3 linked regions of the Rattus norvegicus genome follow. The protein of the gene in region 1 binds, or shares a complex with, the protein of each later gene. Links are inferred from orthologs where the notes say so. Each region holds a gene or a part of one and is shown on either strand. Other genes may lie near its edges.

Region 1 (4,297 bases):
GCCCTGCTTGGCTACACTGTAAGTTCTAGGTCAGACTGGACCAGTCTCAAGGAAAAAGTAGAAATAAAGACATTCTCGGATAAAATTTGGTAAGTTCGTTTATTGTAAGAAATCCTAAGGGGTTGAACAATGAGAGAGCTTAGTGTCACTGTAACTTTGGTTTCTAATTCTAAGTGGTTTCTAAATCCATCAAATGGGGTTTGTTCCTGGAACAAAAGAACGTTTCAACATAATTAAATATGCAACAGACTACTTGAGACAGTAGGCAAAAATCCCCCAAACTTATCCCAGCTTACAAAGGAAAAAGTACTCAACAAACTGAAACATTAAAAACAAATGATTTAAATCATTATTAAAAAAAAAAAAACAAACAAACAAGGAAAACCTTGTCTCAAAAAACAAAAACAAACAGAAACAGAAACAAGGCGCTGGAGAGAAGGCTGGGTTAAGAGCTCTTTCAGAGTAATGGCGGTGGGCTCCCTGCCCGACTGGGTGGCTCACAACCATCTGCTAACTCCAGCTCAAGCGATCTCAGTCTCTTCGGACCCTATTGACGCCACTTACACTCACATGTACGTAACCGCACACGGGCACACAAAATAAACAAACCCTCTAAAAGCAAATACAAAACCAGACGCTGGAGAGACAGCTCAGTGGTTAAGAGCACTGGCTTCTCTTCAAGAGGGATTCCCAGCACTCACAAGACAGCTCACAACCATTTCTAACTCCAGTTCCAGGAGGAGTCCAGTTCCAGTACGCCCTCTTCTGGCCTCTGAGGATACTGCACACGCATAGGGTACAGACATGCATGCGGGCAAAACACCCATACACATAAAACAAAACAAAACAAATTCAAAAGAAATCAAAAACTTACCAAGCCGGAAGAAAAATACCTTAAATAATAAGTTTCAGATTGAGTAATTAGGAATAAAAAAAAAAAAAAAAGGAACAATGTTACCAGTGACGACTGCTGCACTTGCAGTCAGGGTCTTAGTGAGATTACAGCTTTTGCCTCAGGGTCATTTTGCCTCAGTTTCCTGTGAGATCGGAGAATTTGTTCACGCTTCCCAGAGAATTTGAGAAGTCAGAGTGAGAATCATAGCGCAGGATAGTGTAGGAGGGAAGCTGCCACCACCCACAGGAGCCTCCAGACCACAAGCGCCCGGGGAGAGTGGGATCAGCCAGGCGCAGAGCCTCAGAACGGCCCACACTACCCACGGGTTCACACGGTGAGGCCCAGCCGCAAACGCCGCATGCGCATGGGAAACTCAGTGCTAGGTAAGGGTTGTCCGGGGAACCGGAGGCGTGGCTCCGCCTCCAGAGGCGGGGTGCACGGGGATTGGCTGGATGAGGCGTGCAGCGACGGGCGGGGCGGGGCGGGACGCCATTGGCCGAATGCACCAATGGGCGGGACGGGCGCGCGGAGATTGGCGGGATGCGGCGCGGCGCGGTGAGTGTGCTGCTGAGTGGGGTCAATATGGGTGTTGGGCCAGGCTGGGGGCTACCTGGGCAGCAGGATGGGGTCTTGAGGGTGCTTCGAACTGCAACGTGGGCCCGAGGTGGGCGCGTCTGCTGCGGGACAGGTCGCCCATAGCGTCCGGCTCGGGGCACCATGTGGGCCGCTGCCACCAACGTGCGTGTTTGCCTTACATAGAGTTTACATGGGCCCATTTTGCAAATTGTAGGGTCCGCTTCCTAAGCCAGAGCTGTGCGTGAAAGAAAGCCGAGCCAGCTAGGGGAACTTGAACTTTGTAATAGCTGTACCAAAAAAGTAAAACTTGAAGAACGCTGTGTTCAAAACTCACGTTACTACATCCAACCTGTTGTCATCTCAACTACGAATGAAGAATATGTTGAAGTAGTTTATACTATATACTAAAATCCGTTGTGCATCCTCCAAGCACATCTTAGTTGGACCTCTTAGTGGGAAGGCGGTGCAATACATCCTTGAAGAAAACAAACCTTTGCCCTCCCGGAGCTTAGGATGCAGTTGAAGGAGACAAAGTGAATGCTTGAGAAGATGAATGATGAAGACAACTGAAGTAGCAAATCTAGTTAATTAGATAAGGGAAGCTGAGTTTTAAGGAAAGACTTGAAGCCAGTAAGCCTTGGGGGAATATGGGAGAGGAGCCAGTAGGAGTAGAGAGGCCTCTACTTGGAGCCTCTCCTGTCGAAGGGACACTTGGAAGGAGAAACAGGTAGGAGGGAAGGACCAGCAGGACCAGAGCTGATCTTACAGGAAGTGGTAAGAACTTGGGGTTTTATTTACCGAAAAGCAACCTCTGGAGAGTTTTGAGCAAAGCAGGGACAGCTTTATACTTCAGTTTTATCACTAATGATTCTTTAGAGACGTCTGGCAGCATTCCCAGAGGTAGCACAGTTACCAGGGAGCTGGATAGAGGCAGATCAATAATTCCACTTGAGGGTATGCTGAATTTGAGACCCTGGTGATCAGGTAGAAATAGAGAGTGGAGAAGGTGATGAGCGAGGTTTGGAGCAAGCTCCAGGATTTATCTGATTAGGTTATAGGGCAGCATCTCCTGACACATGTGTGCACATTGGGTGCAGTGTAAGCAGAGTGGTTGGGACACCAGGGGAGCTGCTGCTTCGGGTACAGGTAGGCATTACAGGAACGCCTTTGTGTGTTTCTGCAGTGATAACTCTTGGGCCTGGACGCAACTGCTTGGACCAAACAAGCCACGAGTGCCGCCATGTTTTCAGAGCAGGCAGCACAGAGGGCCCACACTCTGCTCTCCCCGCCATCAGCCAGCAATGCCACCTTTGCCCGGGTGCCTGTGGCCACGTACACCAACTCCTCACAGCCCTTCCGACTGGGAGAGCGCAGCTTTAACCGACAGTACGCCCATATTTATGCCACACGCCTTATCCAGATGAGACCCTTCCTGGTGAGCCGGGCGCAGCAGCACTGGGGTAAGCTTGGGTACGCTGCTCCCAACAGCCCAGCATCTAGAACTGGGACTTTATCTAACCTGGGGTACTTCCCAGTTACCATGGGAACAGTCTCCCGCTCTTTGCTGCTTCTTAAAGGCGAGGATTGAATTAACCTGTGGGGTTGAAGTTGGGGTTTGGCTCAGAGGCTGGTCAGAGATAAGGGCTGAGTTCGGGCAGTGATGGCTACTGTCTCATACATGGAAGACATGGTTTTACTATTCTTGCTACCTTCAGTGTGCACTGGTCTCTGGTGTGCCCACCCTATCGAGAGAGCTCCTCACAGTGGAAGCCTCAGTCTTTGAGGGATGGACCACACCTAAACCGTAGAGCCACAGGCAGGGATTCGGGATCTGTTGCTTCTGTTGACCTCTGGTGTTTCTGTGCGGTGTCAGTCCCCCTTTCCTTCTGCGGAATCGTCAGCTCCTCTGGGTGGAGCTCTGAGGAATGTTCCTGGCTCTTCTAGGGTGTGAGTGTGGCTCTGGCCCAGCCTCCACTTCACCCTCCCTCCTCAGCAGTTTGTCCTAGGATTGGGTCTGTGCCGATGAATCCCTGGAACTCTCTGGAACTCGCTTTCCTTCTTCCTGCCCAGTGTGCCTCCCCACATCTTCCCTCCTGGGCGTGGGGAACATTCACCCATGTTCCGGTTTTCCTCCTGGGGACTTTGAATGAACAAGGCTGCTGACTCCACGGGGAGTAGGGTGGGCCAGGGCGGAGGGGGCACAGAGTAGGAATTACGAGGTGTGTATATTTTCAGGGTGAGGGATCGGGCAGAGCAGGGGCTGGCACATGAGAATCCAGAGACTTAGCCTTTAATCCTAGCACTGAGGAGGCAGAGGCAGGTGGGTCCCTGTGAGTTCAAGGCCAGCCTGGTCTGTGGAGTGAGTTCCAGGATAGCCAGAGTTGTGTCATAAGACCCTGACTGGAAAAAACAAACGAATGCAGAGTCTTAAGGACATGGTAGTTGTCTGCACAGAGCATGGGACAGGCGTGTAAGTAATATCCTTCACAGTTACTTCACCTGTCCATGAAAGGAAGTGCTGTAAAGGGACTTAGAACAACGCACATCTATTCTCCTGTGGTTCTGGAGGTGTAAACTCTGAAATCGAGTCAACAGGGCTGATTCTGTGTAGAACAGAGGTTCTCAGCCTTCCTAATGCTGCGACTCTTCAATACAGTCCCTCGTGTTATGCTCACCCCCAAGCATAAAATTATTCCATTGCTGTTTCACAGGTGTAATTTTTCTATTATGAATTATGAATATCTGATATACGGATATTTGATATGCTACCCCTGTGAAAGAATCATTTGACCCCCAAAGGGTCAAGACCCACAAGTCGAGAACCGT
Region 2 (3,648 bases), on another chromosome or scaffold:
TCCTCTGTTTATAGTTCTATAGGGCCTGGAGTCTCAAAAGTTAATACTCAGAGATCTCATAGTCAAAGTGCTATGTTTACTCGAAAGGAAACAACCTTGATTCAGAAAAGCATATTTGACCTTTCTAACCATTTGTCTCAGGTAGCACAGAGCACGCAGTTATGTTCAGGTATAATATCTCCAAAGACAGAGGAGAGTTCAAATACACAAAAGAACTGTGGGTCATCTATTGGAAAGTTAAATGAGTATCGCAGTTCCCTAGAGTCAAAGCCAGAGAAAGTCTGTGCCCCTAATTTTTTGCACTGCAGAGACAGTCAGCAGCAGACTGTGAATGTGTCAGAACAGTCAAAACCCAGTGAAACCTGTTCTCCGGGAAATGCAGCTTCTGAGGAGAGCCAGACACCTAACTGTTTTGTAACTTCTTTGAGAAGTCCCATCAAACAAATAACATGGGAGCAGAGACAGAGGGGCTGTATTTTAGAGATGTCAAGTTTTAAGCCTGAAAAGGTAAAACAGAGGTCATTGTCAGAAGCAATTTCACAAACCAAAGCACTATCTCAATGTAAAAATCAAAATGTGTCAACACCTTCAGTATTTGGTGAAGGACAGTCTGGGTTAGCTGTTCTAAAAGAATTGTTACAAAAAAGACAGCAGAAAGCACAAACCACAAATGTACAAGATTCGGCATCTAGTCATCAGCCAGATAAGGATATTTCTGTTTCTGCTGAGCACAAGAAGACAAATAAACGGACACGAGCAGTAGCATCTCCAAGGAAACCTCGAGCTCCCAGGAGAACAAAGCCTAAGGAACAAACCCCCAGACGTCTGAAAGTGGACCCTCTAAACCTGCAGACCTCTGGCCACTTGGATAACTCCCTGTCAGATGACAGTCCCATCCTTTTCTCAGATCCAGGCTTCGAAAGTTGTTACTCACTTGAAGACAGCCTGTCTCCTGAACATAATTATAATTTTGATATTAACACAATTGGTCAGACTGGGTTTTGCAGCTTGTACTCTGGCAGTCAGTTTGTTCCAGCTGACCAGAATTTGCCCCAGAAGTTTCTAAGCGACGCCGTTCAGGATCTGTTCCCAGGACAGGCTATAGAAAAGAACGAGCTTTTAAGTCATGACAGACAGAGTTGTACTGAGGAAAAGCATCACGTCTCTGACTCAGGCCCATGGGTTAGAGCCAGTACTTTGAACCCTGAACTTTTTGAGAAAGTAGGTATAGATAACAATGAGAATCATCGGCACAGCCAATGGAAAACTAGCTTTCACCCTCTGACCTCTCACTCTAACTCAATAATGGAGTCTTTCTGTGTCCAGCAAGCAGAAAGCTGTCTACCTGAAAAATCGAGACTGAATAGGAGTTCGGTGAGTAAGGAAGTGTTTCTCAGTCTCCCGCAGGCAAGCAGTTCAGACTGGATTCAAGGTCATAACGGAAAAGAAATAGAACAGTCCCTTGACTCAGCTAATACCTCTTTCACTACCGTACTTTCCTCCCCTGATGGGGAACTTGTGGATGCAGCTTCTGAAGATTTAGAATTGTACGTCTCAAGAAACAACGACGTGCTGACACCAACCCCTGATAGTTCACCCCGGTCTACCAGTTCTCCCTTACAATCTAAGAACGGCAGTTTTACTCCTCGAACTGCTCACATTCTGAAACCGCTTATGTCTCCACCAAGTAGGGAAGAAATCGTGGCAACTTTGCTAGACCATGATCTTTCAGAAGCTATATATCAGGAACCATTTTGCAGTAATCCTTCGGATGTGCCAGAGAAGCCCAGGTAATCAGAACTAATCCCCCCCCCCAACCCCTGGGTAACTTTGAATAATTCTTATTTCTATAACATTTCATAACTCACTACTAGTTTTATAGCTGTGATACTGCATTTTTAAGAACAATGAAGAAAATTATTTGTAATTAGAGACTGATTAAGCACATTCACAAACTAGAAAACACCTAGAGAAATTAAGATGATGACTCTTAGACTTTAATTTACTAGTACTTGACTCCATGTTGCCATTGAGAATTAGAGGAGCAAAGGATCACTTTGACATGTTGCAGAATTTAAATGAATGTCAAATACCTCAATGTCTTGCACGAGGAGGTGGGAGGGAGGGAGGGTCAGGATGAAGAGACTATGTATATATATGAAAATCTGAGGGTAAGAACTGAACCCAGAACCTCACATCAGAGGCAAGCACTCTACCTGGCATATACCCCACAATGATCATTTTTGAAATGGAAGTTTTACTCCTTAAGCTTCTTATATTTTTATACACTCTGTGTGTGTGTGTGTGTGTGTGTGTGTGTGTGTGTGTGTGTGTGTGTGTGTGTGCATTTCACAAGTATGGAGGTCAGAGGATAACCTGTGGAAAGTAAGTCCCACCTTTCACCTTGTGGGTCTCGGGGAATCAAACTCATCTGCCTTGGCAGCGGGTGTCTTTATCTGTAGAACCATCTCACCAGACTAAAATTGAGTTTTAGAATTTTTAAAAAACTGTTTCTTTAGAGTTTTTGTTTGTCTGCTTTCTGTTGCTGTGAGAAATACTGGATACAGCCCAGTTTATAAAGAGAAGAGGTCTGACCGGACTGATAGCTTCCTGGGTTCCAGTCCATGATGAGCCTATTGCTTGAGTCGATGGCAAGAGAGCACATCAGCGTAGGCATGGATGGCAGAGGACCAAAAGGAAGAGGCCAGTGCCTGTACTCTAAAGACCTCTCACTACATCCCATCTCACAGTTTCTGGCAACTCCCTGAATCCCAAGCTAGGGGCCAGGCCTCTGATGCATGGACATTTAAGGGCCACTCAAGACCCACACATCAGCATTGAGCACACATAAGTTATTCTATGACAGTAAATGGACATGAGTTTTTGGTATTGCTGTTCTAAACCACTTTTCATTTGTTTTCATCATCTGTAGACTGATAGTGCTATTTGTTTTTATATTTATTAAGGCATAGACAGTTTAGTTCCCCTGACTTCCTTCAGTCAAGATTTTCAGAGAAGTAATAGACCTGTAACAGCAGAGTGCAGTGGGAATTACTGTACGGGTTTCTTTAGCAGTGATGGCTCCTCTTTACCACATGACCTAACCCAAGGCTTTCAGGCGTGGAGGTCAGTCAGTAAAGTGCTTGAGGACATGAGTCCATGGTGGGTGGCTGGTTTTAAGCATAACGAAAACAAAACAGGAATGGTGTTTCGTATTTGTAACCCTCATCTGTAGAGTTGGGGAGAGCTTCGAGGCTTGCTGACCAGACAGCCTATTCTACTTGGGGACAGAAGAGAGGGTGGCACTTGAGGCACAGCACCCAAAAGTCTGTCCTCCGACCTCCACACTCACGAGTACACACAACCACACAAAACCACACCAGACTCTGAATTACGATTCTGTTTATACACATGTGCTCAAACATTAGTGGAACTAGGCTGTCTACCTTGTTCTGCCAATTCCAGAGTTCCTATGTTTATGTCAAACTCGAGTACCTGAGAGAATGGAATCATGGCAGTTCACTTCAGCTCTGTAGATGGGGGTTTGATTGAGGCAGGACATTGAACCTGAGACCTCATGGTATGCCACCAGCAAGTATATGCTTGTTTTAATACTGAGAATTTAAATACAAAGCCTTGTTTTAGCTG
Region 3 (3,512 bases), on another chromosome or scaffold:
TAGACCTTGCACCCCTGGAAGGAAGAACCGGATGGGCGCTCCAGAGGGTGATTAGTGCTGGGTCAGTCCCAGTGCTGGTTCCCAGACTCCCACAGGCCAACACTTTCACCCGCTGCCAGGAAGTTGGTGAGGGGGAGGTGGTAGTACGGGTGAGTCAGCGATGACAGGAGCCCCAAAACAAAGGTCATGGGTAGAAAATTGAGAGACACTGTTTACAGCAATTACCTTCTGGAGGTCTTCTCCCAGTGCCTACCATCCTCCTCTAGCTCTGAGGAGTTCTTACTCCTGCTCTTCTGTCCAGGCCTGACAACTGTGTTTGACCCTATACCTTGTAAGCTTGGGAGCTTCTAGAGCACAAGGAAGGCTAGTTAGTTACACAGTATCTGTGACTAAGAGTACTGATCACAATTTGCCTACACTTCCCACTTGCAAAAACCTCTTTTGATATCTATTTTGAATTAGCATGTGGGAGATGCTTAGAACTTGGCACATGGTAAATCCAATATGAAGGTTAGGTTTATTGAAATTATTTTCTGTTCGTGATACACATTCAGAAAACAAAAACAAAAACAAGAAAAAACAGAGCAGATCTGTCCATTAAGAACTGGGAATATGAACCCATGGAGAGTGGGGACTATATTTCTGGTGTCTTCCTTGGAATGGAATCTTCCTGACTAGCAAAGGGGACAGAGGCAGGCTGTGGGACTTGACAGCAGGCACAGCAACCGTATGCCTGGGTTGAGTGAACAGTGTCTCTGCCAGCAGACTGTGAGAAAGGAGCCTTCTGAGCGCATGGGTTTCTTCAGCAAGGTCTCCTGGGGCCAGTAGGAGCAGGGAAGGACCTGGTCAAGTCCAAACTCTCTTTGGACCTACAGATCTGATCCCACAGCGCTCTAGGGCCAACCGGCAGGAGTAAAAGGTTCTCAGGGGACTTACAAACTGGCCACGGGGATTAGTGAGGCTGAAAAGAACATTTGCCTAGGAAGGAAAAACGGGAAGTGAGAGGCCGAGGATAACTCTCTATACGTCCCTGGGGACCCAAGTAGACCAATGAGAAACCCGAGGAGGTGGTGAAGTCTGGGGCATCTTGACAGGTTCTTGGTTCCGCCTAACCCCTCCTCAATCGGAACGCAGCAGCAGCTACCCCGCCCCCTGCTTCTGCCGATTGCCATTGGCTAGAATTAAGGCCCCGCCCCGCAAAGGCCGTTTGCCATTTGCTTAGGTCTCTGATGTTTGCATGCTTGTGGGGGCGGAAGACAGGCGTCATTCCCTGGAACTTAAGGACTTCCTCTCTATGCTTGTCTGGGTCAACTTGTCTGTCCATTGCTGGCCTATCTTTCTCTGGCCCCCTCTCTCACTCTCAGCAGCTGTCTCTCACAGGCCCGCTGCCCTGCCTTTTCTTTGCCTCCTGCTCCGCCTGCCTGGGTGGCCGCCATGGGTCGGAAGCGGTTCATCACAGACTCCTACCCTGTTGTGAAGAAGAGGGAGGGGCCCCCTGGGCACAACAAGGGGGAGCTGGCACCCGAGCTAGGTCTCTGAAATGTGGGGGTGGCAGGGAGAAATGGACATGAAGTGACCAGAAAGGACTCTGTGTGTGTGTGTGTGTGTGTGTGTGTGTGTGTGTGTGTGTGTGTGTGTGTGTGTGTTGGCTAAAAGGAGAAGCTAGCATGTCTCGCACTTCCGATGAGCTGTCTGTCTGCCCGATGGCAAAGGCAAACGAGTGGGGAGATAGCCAAGAAATAGAGGCACAGCTCTGAGTCCAGGGCAAAGGCCTGGATGAGCCTGAGGAGCCACATGTTATTGCAGGGGAAGACACCCAGTCCCTCAGCCAGGAGGAAACAGAGCTGGAGTTGCTGAGGCAGTTTGACCTGGCCTGGCAGTATGGGCCTTGCACAGGTGAGAACCCCATTTCCGGCCCCTCCCATTAGGCACAGTTCTGTCATCAATGTGCCTCAGAAGTAGTCCAAGTGCCTGCCTAACTCTTGGACACCTGTTTCCTGAGACTGACGTATGTAGGCTCAAGAAACTGCCCTCTGTATTCTCTAGCCCAGACTCCCCTGCCCATCCTGACTTCTTTCCCCGGTGGTAGGTATCACAAGGCTGCAGCGCTGGCATCGGGCAGAGCAGATGGGCTTGAAGCCCCCCGTAGAGGTGTACCAAGTGTTGAAGACACATCCTGAAGACTCTCGCTTCCAATGCAGGTCAGGACAAGCTGGGACAGCCTTCAGGGAAACCAGGCACTTCTCCAAGGGTTGCCACCCTCTTGGTCTATGTAGGGGCTGCCTTGACTTGGAGAAATGGGTACAGACTTAGAGAGTCCTTCCTGACAAGCAAAAAGGGTCTTCTAGGTGCCTGGCTTGAGACAGTTCTCTACAATGACCTTACCTCTATGAGCTAATGGTGGGGGAAGAGTATATCTAGGGCCCATGGGGCTATCCATGCATACTGGGGTGTTCACCAGAGCCACAGAACGATAGGCAATAGTTACGAACTAGAGATAGTCCATCAGGGAACAGAGCCAACTTGGTTATGCATTCCTTCTCCCACCCTGTCTTCCACAGCCTCTGGCATCTCTACCCACTCTGAGGTACCACCTAGGTTGTCCCCTTGGCATCTCCTAGCCACCAAGAACTTCAGGGCAGACATCATGGCTTTCTCTGATCACCATTCCATTTTTGGATAACAAGTTAGCAGGCTGACTTTGGAGGTCTTCCTGGTCCAGCTTCTTATCTGTCTACACAACAGGCTACTGAAGCTCCTGGGGACCTGAGAAGCCGAGCAGAGCACCTCCAAGCTCTAATCATGAGCACTAGATGTCTGCCACACCCTCTCTGACCTATGGTGTGGCAAATCCAGCACAGTCTGGCATAAAGCCAGATGTAGTCAGGGCCCACCTAGGGCATCTTGCTGAGAACACAACTGGCTGAGTTCTTAATCAAAAAGTTCACTAATGCTTACAATAAAGTATATTAAGCCTGAAATCCTGACTTTAGTCTCTTAATATGCCCTACTCTAGCTGGCAGTTCCCAAAATGTAAGTAGTCTGGAGAGCCAGCAACAGCTTTTTATTTTATTTTATTTTATTTTTTGGTTGGTTGGTTGTTTTGAAACAGTTTCTCTGTGTTATCCTGGTCCTGGAACTTACTCTGTAGACTAGGTTGGCCACAAACTCAGAGATCTTCCTGCCTCGATTCCTGAATTTTGAGATTAAAGGGTTTCAATATGGGGGGGGGGGGAGAGACACTATGATCAGAATGTAAAGTGAATAAATTAATTAATGGGGAAAAAGGTCTCATAATATGGTCCTGTCTGTCCCAGAACTCACTCTATAGACCAGGTTGGTCTCTCTCTCTCTCTTTTTTTTTTTTTAAAGATTTTATTTTATTTATATGAGTACACTGTTGCTGTCTTCAGACACACCAGAAGAGGGCATCAGATCCCATTACAGATGGTTGTGAGCCACCATGTGGTTGCTGGGAATTGAACTCAGGACCTCTGGAAGAGCAGTCAGTG

The links.
Region 2: Pold2 (region 1) and Rev3l share a complex: the UniProt entries of both Homo sapiens proteins name them as parts of the tetrameric Pol-zeta complex. The link is inferred for Rattus norvegicus from reciprocal best matches to the Homo sapiens genes POLD2 and REV3L.
Region 3: Pold2 (region 1) and Pold4 share a complex: the UniProt entries of both Homo sapiens proteins name them as parts of the tetrameric DNA polymerase delta complex. The link is inferred for Rattus norvegicus from reciprocal best matches to the Homo sapiens genes POLD2 and POLD4.

What each region holds. Positions count from the first base shown.
Region 1 is NC_086032.1:84,966,231-84,970,527, reverse strand, and holds the start of Pold2 (DNA polymerase delta subunit 2), read left to right. Parts: upstream 1-1,431; 5' UTR 1,432-1,450; exon of another isoform or gene 1,451-1,633; intron 1,634-2,654; 5' UTR 2,655-2,711; coding exon 2,712-2,931; intron 2,932-4,297. UniProt on the Homo sapiens protein: Accessory component of both the DNA polymerase delta complex and the DNA polymerase zeta complex.
Region 2 is NC_086038.1:44,784,425-44,788,072, forward strand, and holds part of Rev3l (DNA polymerase zeta catalytic subunit), read left to right. Parts: coding exon 1-1,790; intron 1,791-3,648. UniProt on the Homo sapiens protein: Catalytic subunit of the DNA polymerase zeta complex, an error-prone polymerase specialized in translesion DNA synthesis (TLS). Lacks an intrinsic 3'-5' exonuclease activity and thus has no proofreading function.
Region 3 is NC_086019.1:210,954,883-210,958,394, forward strand, and holds Pold4 (DNA polymerase delta subunit 4), read left to right. Parts: upstream 1-1,311; 5' UTR 1,312-1,434; coding exon 1,435-1,531; intron 1,532-1,806; coding exon 1,807-1,896; intron 1,897-2,089; coding exon 2,090-2,201; intron 2,202-2,561; coding exon 2,562-2,586; 3' UTR 2,587-2,745; coding exon of another isoform or gene 2,746-2,770; 3' UTR 2,771-2,981; downstream 2,982-3,512. UniProt on the Homo sapiens protein: As a component of the tetrameric DNA polymerase delta complex (Pol-delta4), plays a role in high fidelity genome replication and repair.